2 linked regions of the Drosophila melanogaster genome follow. The protein of the gene in region 2 interacts with the protein of the main gene of each other region in a pairwise test. Each region holds a gene or a part of one and is shown on either strand. Other genes may lie near its edges. The genes, in order: CG17154 and RanBPM.

Evidence for each region.
Region 1: the proteins of RanBPM (region 2) and CG17154 interact in a two-hybrid assay, tested with the Drosophila melanogaster proteins (one large-scale study listed by BioGRID).

Annotation. Positions count from the first base shown.
Region 1 is NT_037436.4:12,087,021-12,089,985, reverse strand, and holds CG17154 (uncharacterized protein), read right to left. Parts: upstream 1,361-2,965; 5' UTR 1,283-1,360; coding exon 914-1,282; 3' UTR 761-913; downstream 1-760.
Region 2 is NT_033778.4:10,427,916-10,435,950, reverse strand, and holds the start of RanBPM (Ran-binding protein M), read right to left. Parts: upstream 6,240-8,035; 5' UTR 6,168-6,239; intron 5,947-6,167; exon of another isoform or gene 5,878-5,946; intron 5,418-5,877; 5' UTR 5,366-5,417; coding exon 4,036-5,365; intron 2,913-4,035; coding exon 2,748-2,912; intron 2,680-2,747; coding exon of another isoform or gene 2,677-2,679; coding exon 2,486-2,676; intron 2,410-2,485; coding exon 2,228-2,409; intron 2,165-2,227; coding exon 2,052-2,164; intron 1,991-2,051; coding exon 1,839-1,990; intron 1,781-1,838; coding exon 1,578-1,780; intron 1,525-1,577; coding exon 1,361-1,524; intron 1,315-1,360; coding exon of another isoform or gene 1,306-1,314; coding exon 1,166-1,305; intron 1,034-1,165; coding exon 922-1,033; intron 866-921; coding exon 729-865; coding exon of another isoform or gene 228-728; 3' UTR 1-227. UniProt on the Drosophila melanogaster protein: May be involved in JAK/STAT signaling. Isoform D is required for the proper arrangement of niche cells and is autonomously required for proper niche cell size, isoform C negatively regulates the adhesive properties of the niche.

The sequences.
Region 1 (2,965 bases), on a different chromosome or scaffold from region 2:
TTTAACAATTTCCTTAAAAACTTAACAATGTCATTAAGTACGTTAAAATTATATTATAATAATGAGCTATAAAGTCTTATAGTTATAGGTCTGGCTTTCCACAAACAGCTTACAGGTTTTAAGTACATTGAATAACTTAAATTGGTGTTTTGCAAATAATTAAATGATTTTCAATGGTAATTTCATTTTTATTAGTAAACATATATTATTTTGCATTTTTTTTTAACATTTGTAATCTCCTAAAAATGTTGATGCACTTTGGTGCAGCTACAGTTAGGATCATAAGAAATCCCCATTTCGAAGTTTATGCTTCATCTGTGGAGGCGTTAAGTGATGAAGGGGAAGGGGTGGGTATCTATTTGGAATGGGTAGAGATGAGAGTGGAGCTGCGAAGAGTTCGTGGAAGAGTGTTGAAAGCGAAGACAAATAGTACACATTTAATTATGACAAGGTGACTCGGCTACGCCTCTGCTCCTCCACCTCTGATCCCCACTGCCCACCACCTGGCCATCCATTTTCCACTTTGCCGGGAAATTTAACTATGAAAATTCAGACGAAATTTGATTCGGTTGCTTGGCCCCCTGCTGACTTCTGCTGCCACTGACACTAATGCCTTTAATGATCCAAGTTGTCGCTCAAGTTGAAAACCGCCATTAGACTTGACTCCCCATTGTCTTTGGGACCAGTTGTCAGCACTACCTATCATGATCAGTGAAATACCTAGGAAACATTACATGATTTAATCGGAGAACATGAGTTTCGAGGAGTGGAAAATGTTGATTATTTTATAATTGTGATTTAACATATGCCTTAAAATTAAATAGTGGGTATGCACTGTATGCTTTTTGCTTGCAGATATTTCCGAAATATATGTGAATATGTATTACAAGATGTTTATAGAATCATCATACATTCAGTTGACTACATCTATGCTGTTTGCGTTCTCGCAGATCGTCTCGTAATCCTGACTAAGATCCCGGTGTATGCCCAATAGCTTCCGGTGGACCTTGACGAACTTGCCCACGTATATCGTTAGCTTGGCGGTTAGATTACTCCTCAACTCTTGCACGGTGCACTGCTGGTAGATGTTGCCAGCGGCAATTGTGCACGGTAGTCCATCATTGCGACCTTCTAGCATTTTCAGCATGCCCTGCAGCTTTTTGATGCACTTCTTCAGAGTTTTCTTCTGCTTGGTCAACTCGCGGTGCCGAGCATGCTGCTCCTCAACGTAGTTGATCACCTCGTTGGGAATGTTCGGGATCGAGCTCTCCTCCATTAGCATTTCAATTTAATAGAAAAAAATTTTGGGAGTGAATTTTTAATAGTTGCTCAAATATGATAGGAAAAACAAAAAAATTTATTTTGAAAATTACATATAAAAATATGTCATATATACTCAAGTAGTTCTTGAAAGTGGTTCTGTACGTAAAATACCCATCATAAGATTGTCAAATCTATTTGCCTTGTTGGGACACCTTTGAATGTGACCTAATGTATTCATATTTTCCATCATCTCTTTATGCCGCTTCACACCTCCGAGTTAGCCACGATTATGATTTCATCTGGCCAAAACAAAGATGGCCCATGAGATCTTCTGCGGATACAATGGCAATGCTAATCACATTAATAAATTATCCGCACCTCCGGTTGGAAACTCGCATCTATTGATTCTTTGATCGTTGTAGATGAGAATATTGTTATTGGCTGATTCACGACTGGACATTTGCAGTGGCTAAACATTAATTTTTCACGCTACCCTCCCTTGATTTATTCAAATTATTTTTAATGGCCTTTTGTTGTTGACTCTGTCACTGTGCTAAATGGCAGTACAAATTCCACAAGTCTATTGGAATTTTTACTATACAGCGACTATTGTGAATTAGTTGGAATTGGCTGACATCAGAGGAGTGGGGGTGGGGGGTACCACTTGTACAAATGGTTTTTTAATGCATCTATGAATTTGTTTTGGTTGCCAAATCTTTTGAGAAAATTCCCCGAATTACCGCTGAGCAGTTCAGCTTAGATTTATTTCTAACATTTTCAATGAAATATAGTCTTAAATCATTTCATAGCAACATATCATTTCTACCACTTGATTTTATTTCCTTAAATGATAACAATGTGTATGTGTAAGCTAAAAGTCGGCGAGTTTCAAGAGTTCCTTGTACTTTCCCAGTTCCTTTCAATGGAATTGAACTTCTTTTATGAAACAAGTTCTCCTGCCCTGCGATTTCACATAAACGGCCATACAAAAGACCACACGCGTTTTGGATGCCATTTATGAGCATTTAATCCTTTCGGGCAGCCCAACAATAGCCAACACCACACCAAAAACAACTGAAACACCAAGCGGAAACCCAAAAATGAAAAAAAAAAAAATGTAAGAAAATCATAAAAAAGGGTGTGCATTCAGGTTGATTTATATGATCATATTTCTATGGCTTTCACTGTCGCACATAAATACATATAATTTCTGGAGTGCGACACCCACAAACAGCAGTGAAAATTGAAACGAAATGAAGACATTCAAATGTGTGGCAAGGTGTGCCAAACTTAAATTTATGTAAATTTCTGCGTTCCGTTCTTTTTTTTTATATAAACTTCTGTGGCTTCTGGATTAGTCAAATGCGCCACACCTCCTAAGAAACTCTTTAAATTTTTTTGCTCGACCTGGCAATAAGTAGCAGTTGTAAATTCTTCGATTTTTTTCCAGGGCTTTTACCACGCGAAAGTTGTTTCTATTTACATTTACACATTTGTATGGCTCTTCAGAAAATTTCTCTAATTTTGTTGTACTTGTAAGTGGAAAAACAAAACCCAAAATTTCAACGTGTGTGGCCTTTGCTTTTCTTTTCCCCAAAAAGGGCAAAACCTTTACAATCTTACAGAACTTATGTACCTTCACTCTGTCGGATCGTATTTTTTTATTTTATTTTTTTGCTTACAACTAAAACATAAATGGGTA
Region 2 (8,035 bases):
CACACTTTATGCTTAGAGAGGCTATATAAAATATATGTTAAAAGTTATTAAAAATCACGCCAAATCAAAGGCCGCCAAACGCATAGCATCTTTAGCATAATCGAACAATTAAAAGAACGGCGATTAGTTTTAAATAGGCGCACTGAAGCCGGTTGCGCAGGTAAAAAAGAAAGAGAACGGAAGTAACAACAAAATTTAACCTACTGCAAATTGTAAATAATCTAAATTTAGTCCAGTGTCTCGAAGAAGTCCTGCGGATCGACGAACATCGATGGGCTGCTGTTTCCGCTCAAGATTTCCGCTTCCTCCTCCTCCTGGCGAGCCGCCTCCGCTTCCGCTTCTTCCGCCTCCTCCTCCGCTGCCGCTGCTGCAGCCGCTGCCGCCGATGAAGATGAGCTGACCCCGCTCCTGCGACGACCCCGACGCACTGGTCCCGTGCCCGTGCCCCCGCCCACCGATGCCACAGCTGCCGACCGGAGCGTACTGCCCGTCATCACGGGATCGTAGGTCCGCGACGACGGGGCATCGGTATTGCTGGACAGGGAGGATTTGCGGCGACGTTTGTTACGCCGCCTTCGGCGTCGTTTGCTGGTCTGAACTGCCACGGCAGCCGTTGATGTGGAGGGCCCAGATCCGGTTCCGGCGCTGCCCAACGGTTCCGTAAGCACACTGGTTCGCGGCAGGGTCAGCGTGGTCTCGAACATCTTCAGCAGCGTCGGGGAACTGGGTCAATTTTGCGGGAACACATCGTCGATGGTAATGAAAGCGTCCTCGCCCAGCGAGTGCTGTCCGATCACCTTGATCAGCTCCGAGGCGTGAGCCACCAGGTATTCCAGCGGCGGACGACGCTCGAAGTTCAGGGACTCTGCATAATCATAGTAATTAGTAACTTCGTTTCGAGACAAGTGTTTAAAGACTTACCCAATATGGCCGAGTTGAGTGTGGTGGAAACACTCTCACGTCGCGAGGGACACAGCAACCAGCCCAGCGGACTGGACCAAGGATTAGAGTAGGCAATCAGACTAAATGCATCCTGTAACAACCATAAATTGAATATCTCTCGATTACGGATAATCATATTCTTATTGAAGTTATTTTTCAAATACAAAGAGTGCTTAGTCTGCAAGATACCAGTTTCTATTGTTTATACATTTTTATAGTTTACCTCCAACATTTGACGCTCCTCTTCAGTCATTAGGTTCTCCTTCTCCAGCTGCTGGCCCATGCTGGACAGTTCCTTGCCGAACTCAAGGATCTTCTCGATCACACGACCACAGTTACGCGATGAGGGGGAAACATCTACATCTGCAAGTGCTAGGGATTACGGATCTTCCCGGAAATGCCGCCAATAGATACATACCCATTTCCTCGTCGATGGCATCTAGAGAGTTGCGCACTGCGCTGGCATTGCCATTGGAGCTCGAGTCGCCGCCGTTGGAGTGACTCTGGCAGGGCTCCATTTCTACGTCCATGCTGTTGCTGTCGTGCTCCACGCACTTGTTGGAGTTGTCGTCAACCAACATGCTTGAACAGTACGTTGTGATTAAAGATCGGAGTAAGTATTACATTTGACTTACTTTTTTATATCTGGCCTATCGCCGCCTTGTGGCTTTATCACAGCTGGAATCGCAGTGTTGTTCTGTTGTTGAGTCTGATTTATGTTGACGTTGCCATTTCCACTGCCGCTCTTGCTGTGCTTGAACGTCTTGGTGGACTGTATCACTGACGTCTGGTTTGTGGGCATGGTCTGTGTGGTGGCGGTGACTTTGTTGTTCACGTTCTGTAAGACAAACCATCCGGTTCTACTTATCTTCCGCATGTAATGTTTAAAAACCCACCTCAATGTCAGCTCCATTGATCATCTCAATGAACTGGCGGCACTTCAATGCGAACCAGAGGTTTTTATTATTTTCCAGGAGTCCGGGGAAAGAACGTAGTGTATGTTCGATGGCCTGGCTCATTTTGCCAGTCAGTATAAGCTTAATGATCTCTGGAAGAGTGGATTTAAAGTTGGCATGTGTGTTGTCATTTCAAATGGCAAATATACGAACTTTGACGTGTCTTGATCGATGCCAAGTCCTCGTTGAAAGTCTGATTTGTGTAGCCATTGAAGGCCTCGGCGGTTTTGCTGAACGCATTATGCACCAAATAAGTGGAAACCAGGCTAAGCAATTTAGAAGTCATTGGGTTAAGCCATGATTTTTAAACACATTTAACAAAAACGCACCGATTCATCAGGTTTTCTGGGGTCTCCAGCAGATGTGGATATCGATCGATCTTGCGGAGCACATTGGAGCGCATCTCCTTCATCATATCGACGATCTTGTCGAACTTGAATGGTTCCTGACCAAAGTTGGCATCCACTTCCTCGCCAGGCGTCTGTAGGCCCACAGTGGGATAAAGCTTAGTCTAAACAAAAAAAAAAAAGATTAACAAACATAAAGTTAGAAGATAAAGTAGTTTTAAAATTCCATTGAATACGCACCGGCAAATCCCTAAATGCGATGCCCAGATCCACTCCGTTCTTGGTGTAGAAGCACGTGTTGTTCACAAAGTTGACGCAGCATCCAATCACATCGCCGGTGGTAAAAGTGGGGCCGTAGGTTTGGCCATTTCCCGAGGAGCTAAACGAGTTGCCATCGTCGCCGTGGTACCCGTACGACTGTTTGTCCCAACCTACTTGAGGGGGGGTGCGGTTATTAGGAATCATGGGCACATCTCGCCGAGCAGCACAATGGAACACAAACCTGGCAGGCGGTTCATACGGAACTGCTGGGCAGTTAGGCCAATGCCCATGTAGCCGTTGCGTCCCTTGGAGATTATCCGCACCTCGAAGTAGTACAGTCCGCAGGAGGACGGGATCGGATAGGCAGTGCGCACTGAGGCGGCATCACTGTGCTGCTTGCCCACACCTAAAAAGTCATGAGGTTTCAGTATTTGACAGATCTCAATTTTTATATGCTATAGCATTGCAGTAAGACAATATTCTTTTATCCATTCGGTATGAACTTCCTACTCTCGAACTTAGTACATGGGATATGTTCTTAACATAAATGAATGAGTTGGTTATCTGGACAATAAAAATAATAAAATTGATACTCTAAATAAAAAAACTGATTTTTGGCCTAAGTCTACGTCGAAACAATAATGAGACATTTTATCAATTTAAATGAAATATTTCGAATTATTGAGTTATATATTTTACCTGAAATTAAAGTAACCTAAATATACATTTTACATCTATGCAACGCACCATCTACGTAATAACTTATACATTTTACGCGCATTTTACATGTTATGTCGCACTGGTAAGCCAGCTGTTGCTGTTAGCGGTTTAACAGCCACGCGAATGAGCGTGGGAGAAGTGGGTTATGAAAAACAAAAACCACCAGTGCACAGCTGAGAGCACCTGTCTGTGCCCTGTGCGTGTGTGTGCCAGAGCGAGATAGAGCGAAAGAGAGTGAAAACTGCAGCTGCACTACGACTCTTCTTCTTTCTACTGCATTGAGTTACATCCTTCAAGACAAATATTAGATTTTGTGGATGGGATTTCGAATAAATAATAATTTCGATAATGCAATTAATAACTATGCAAGTAATAATTTAGTAGGGGCTAGCCTTATATTCGGGTGTTTTGATTTAAGGGCTAAAATATTGTATACTGTCTCTTTAGCTTTAGATCAATACAAATTTGAAAATGTAAGAACAAAGTCAAATCGTTGTAATAAAGATAAACTCCATGAACTCTGGCACTTATACCACCTGGATACTCATACTTGGCTACAGCGTAGACAAACTTATTACAATTTATTCCATATCTATGTAACTATATCTATGTAAGTGCATATTTAATTATTACATTTCATTGCGAAATTGAAATGTGCGTATTAGTGGCAATATGAAACCGATTTAGAATTGAACTATGACAGCTCCTAAGAAATCTGTATCTTATAGTTGCCTGATCGTTGCCTACTTTCTATTTTAGATGGTATGAAATGGAGAGTTGATTTATAGAGAAGTTCGAATCCTACTCACCCTTGTAGGTGACCCTCAAGTTGTTCTGCGACAAACCGATGGACAAGCACTTGTCATGGGGACTCCAGCACCTGGGCAGCGGAGTCTCGCTCTCGTTGACATTGGGATAGAGCAGCCTTAGGGGATCCACGCCCTGGTGCTGTGGCGAATTGGAGCTGGCGGCGGGGGTCGAGTGATGGCGGCGACCACCGACCCGCGGCGATGATGTCTGGGTGCTGCTGCGGGGATTGTGGCTGGGGAACATGTCGTTGCTGAAGTGACTGCCGTTGTTGCTGTAGAAGTGACGAGTGCGTCGCGAGAGGCTGTTACTGTTGCTGTTGTTATTATTGTTGTTGTGATTGCTGATATTGTTGTTGTTATTGTTGCTGCTCCTTGGGGCTCGTGAGGCTGAGGAGTAGCGCGGCAAAACGGCCACCGAGTGCAGGCGCTGGGCACCGGAAACGGAAGCGACTTCGCCGGCTCTGTCGACCCGGTCCTCTACCACCTCCTCCTCTTCATCCACCTCCTCGTCGTCGTCTTCGTAGTCGTCGATGCGCTCCACGGCGTTGGCGTCTATGGTCTCGGCTATAGCGTTTGCGTCTATAATCAGTGGCGGCTGCTGTTCGTTAAGATCCTGCGATCCGGAGTCCTGCTCGTCCAGATCTTCGAGAAGCAGCGGTGGCGGTGGCTCGGCTTCTGGTTCGATTTCGGGATCTCGAACTTGCGGCTCATCCGGTTCTTGGTTGGTATCTTCTCGTCCTAATGTCTCCCGGTTTTCCAGCGATGCTTGTGGTGGATGCTCTTCCGGATTCTGTGATTCTCGGTGCCGAATAAGCCCCTCTATGTGATGCAGCTCCTGGTTTTGCTCCGCTTGTTGATCTTGGTGCACTGCGGGATATTCTTGATTCTGTTGATCCAGCAATGGGTGCAGCTCCTGGTCCTGCGCGGGCGAATTCTCCTGCTGATCCTGCTGCAATGGTGGCGCCTCTTGCTGCTGCTGCTGCTCCCGCTCGTCCCGCTGCGGTGCCGTCGATGAAGTCGTGGGTGGCGGTGCAGTCTGGTGGAAAGTAGGAGTGGGTGAGTGATCATGTGGTGAATTCTCGCGAGCTTCCGTTTCAGATGCATTCAATGGGGGACTAGGGTGATCGGGATGGGGTTGGTCGTGAGAGGACGCGGGGACGGGCGGCGAGGGTGTGGGCGAATGAGAGTGTGACCGAGACGTAGAGGGGGCTATTTCGGCACCCATGGCTCCCGATTGAGAGAGCTGGTGAGAGCTGCTGCTGGCGCTGCTGTTGTTGCTATTGCTGTTGCTCTCCGAAGAGAGTGGCGGGGCCTCTTCGACGTTCTCCATGTTATGGTTGAGTTGTCGTTGTTGTTTATCTTGTTGTGGTTGCAAAAGGAGGCTGAGAGAGAGACGTTCAGCGAGGAATTAGAGAGAGTGAGCCAGCAACGAGCGAGCAAGAGAGAGCGGATGAAGTGCATATGCAGATGCTGTGTGTGTATACGTGAGGAGTGACGAAGGGAGGGGTAAGGAGGCTAGCAAACACAAACAACTTCCAAAATGCAATGTCCTTTGTCCGTTACACCGTTCACCTCATTCGCACTCTCTCAATCACTCGTGCACTCTCTTTCGTTAACTGACCCAAAATACAAACAACAACAGCAACAGCAGTTTACAGTTGCGACGCGCAGCTGCAGCACAAAAAAATACAACAGCAACAACTACAGCTACAAAATTGCATGCACGAAAATGCAAAAAATCAATAGCCAAACGATATTAGCCAATGCTTTCTGCACTTTTTAACATTGCTAGCAAGTCAGTTTTGATTATTCTACATTTGTAAATGCCTTTTTACGTCGTACTTTTCTGAAGTTTTCTTTGTTTTCCCTTCTAACCAACGAGTCACTGTCCACACACACACAAACAAGCACCAGCTCACACACTGGCAGCACTCTCTCCCTCTCGCACACACGCATATATGCATGCAGCAAGCACACACACTCGCAGCTCCCACACGCAGAGAAGAAAATTATCATTTTTTTTTAGCTGGGGCAAATGATCTTTGTTGGGGTTTTATTTAGCTGATGAATTCGATTTGGCTGTCATTCTATGCTGTTGATCGGATCTACAGTTGATATTTCCTTATATTTACCTTCAAACGATTGCTATGAGTTGTTAAATCTACGAAGTTTTGACTTTATGCTATAGAGCTGGAACAAAAGCCGATGTTCATTCGATGATATCGATATCTATTCCGACACCTGACAACATCAGAGTGCGCTCGGCAGCTATCGATTATTCTTATCGAATAAATCTCTTTAGGCGCCTAAATTCAAAATTTGATAAGCAGTAACACACTTCCCAAAGTGCCATTAAAATCTTAAAATGTTTTTAGGTAAAACCCTTGACAATACTTTTGGAGGGTATTATTGCACTATTGCTAGCAATCTTATTTTTTGGGTAAAATTAAACCTTACGTAATTCGTTATGTTTTTTAATGCTAATTTAATCTTTTAAATATTGGTTTAAATTATAAAAAAAGATCATATTATCTATTTTTAGCGCATACTTTACGCCATACCGATAAGAATATTAAGGGCAATTATTACTTAGAAACTTCTGCCTATGGTATAAAAGTATGACGAATGTCAAACATACGCGTTTTACATTGAAACCAGATTTAAAAATGCATCAGCGCAAAAAACTTTAGTGATTTCTAGTACTCTGCCCAGAATGTAATTAAGAGATCGCTGCACTGGTAAAAAAAACCGCCATAAATTCAAAAGATTCGATTCGATTGACAGACTATCGATGCTGCAGAATTTACCGGTTCGCTCTACGGCTTCTCTCAAATGCTTTGACACTTTCTATCTCACTCTTCTAATCGTTCTTGTTCGTTTCGCCTCAACCTTCACTCTGTATTTTAGTTACTTCCTTTCCGAATAGAAATCCTATCACGTAACTGATAATAAACAGTGGAAAATTACCACACGTCTGGTGTAGAGACGAATGTTGCTGGATTCTTGATTAGACTTTATACACTAGCACAAAAACTGTACTTGTAACTTATGAAACACGATCGAGCTACTGGGAGGGAACTCTTCTAATTAAACTTATCAATTGTTGCATTTTTGGTATCCATTATGACTAGATATTGAATTTTAACCATATGATTCCTATTTGGGCTGCTTTCATGCGTACTGTCTTTTGCCTTCTGAATGAGCGATCTGCCCATCCGACTTCCCAAATCCATTCCATCTTTATGTGTGACTTACTGAGAGAAAACCTATGCTGGTGTGCTAATTTTCGATAGACCCACGCACACAGTCTCACGATTTCACTCGCTCTTCACTTTCAATTAGAGGCTCGTTTTCTGTACGTGAACGGGAGAGCCGTGCGATCTATGGAAGTGTGCGATTTTTGCAGGCACTCACAAATACCATCACGTTGCTCGCCGCTCTCTCGCTCTCAATATCCGCCTATCGGCGTGGCTGTATGTTTGCAGGTGTTGGTGCTTCGCCTCTGTTTACCAACACCATTTAACATTTAAATGCGCTCTCGCTCTCTGTTTATGTTTGGAGCCGGCAAAACCGTCAACTGCATCAAATCAGCTGTTTTGATACTAGATCCTGAAGGAATTGGTTCTGGACTGATTGATTTATTCGAACAAGTTTAAATTAAAAGAAATATGCGAAACTGTACTTCATTTTGCGTTACATCTAAAATGTGTTCGTCACAGAGTCCATTTTTGTGTGACGCCCCAAACAGGTTTTTTTAAGGCCCCTCTTGAGGTTCACACAAATATGGAGACCCCGTACGAGGCCTCATCTTTCCCCTCACAATGTCCCCAATTATCACTGAGTTGTTTGTTAGTCTACCCGCAGCACCACGTACTATACATACAAACATACATATGTACATATATGATACGATAAGCCAGCTCCCGTTCTCTGTCTCTATCGGTCCCCTTTCATCAAATTGATCCAGTCGGGTATAAAAGACAGCGAGCTCTCCCAGTCA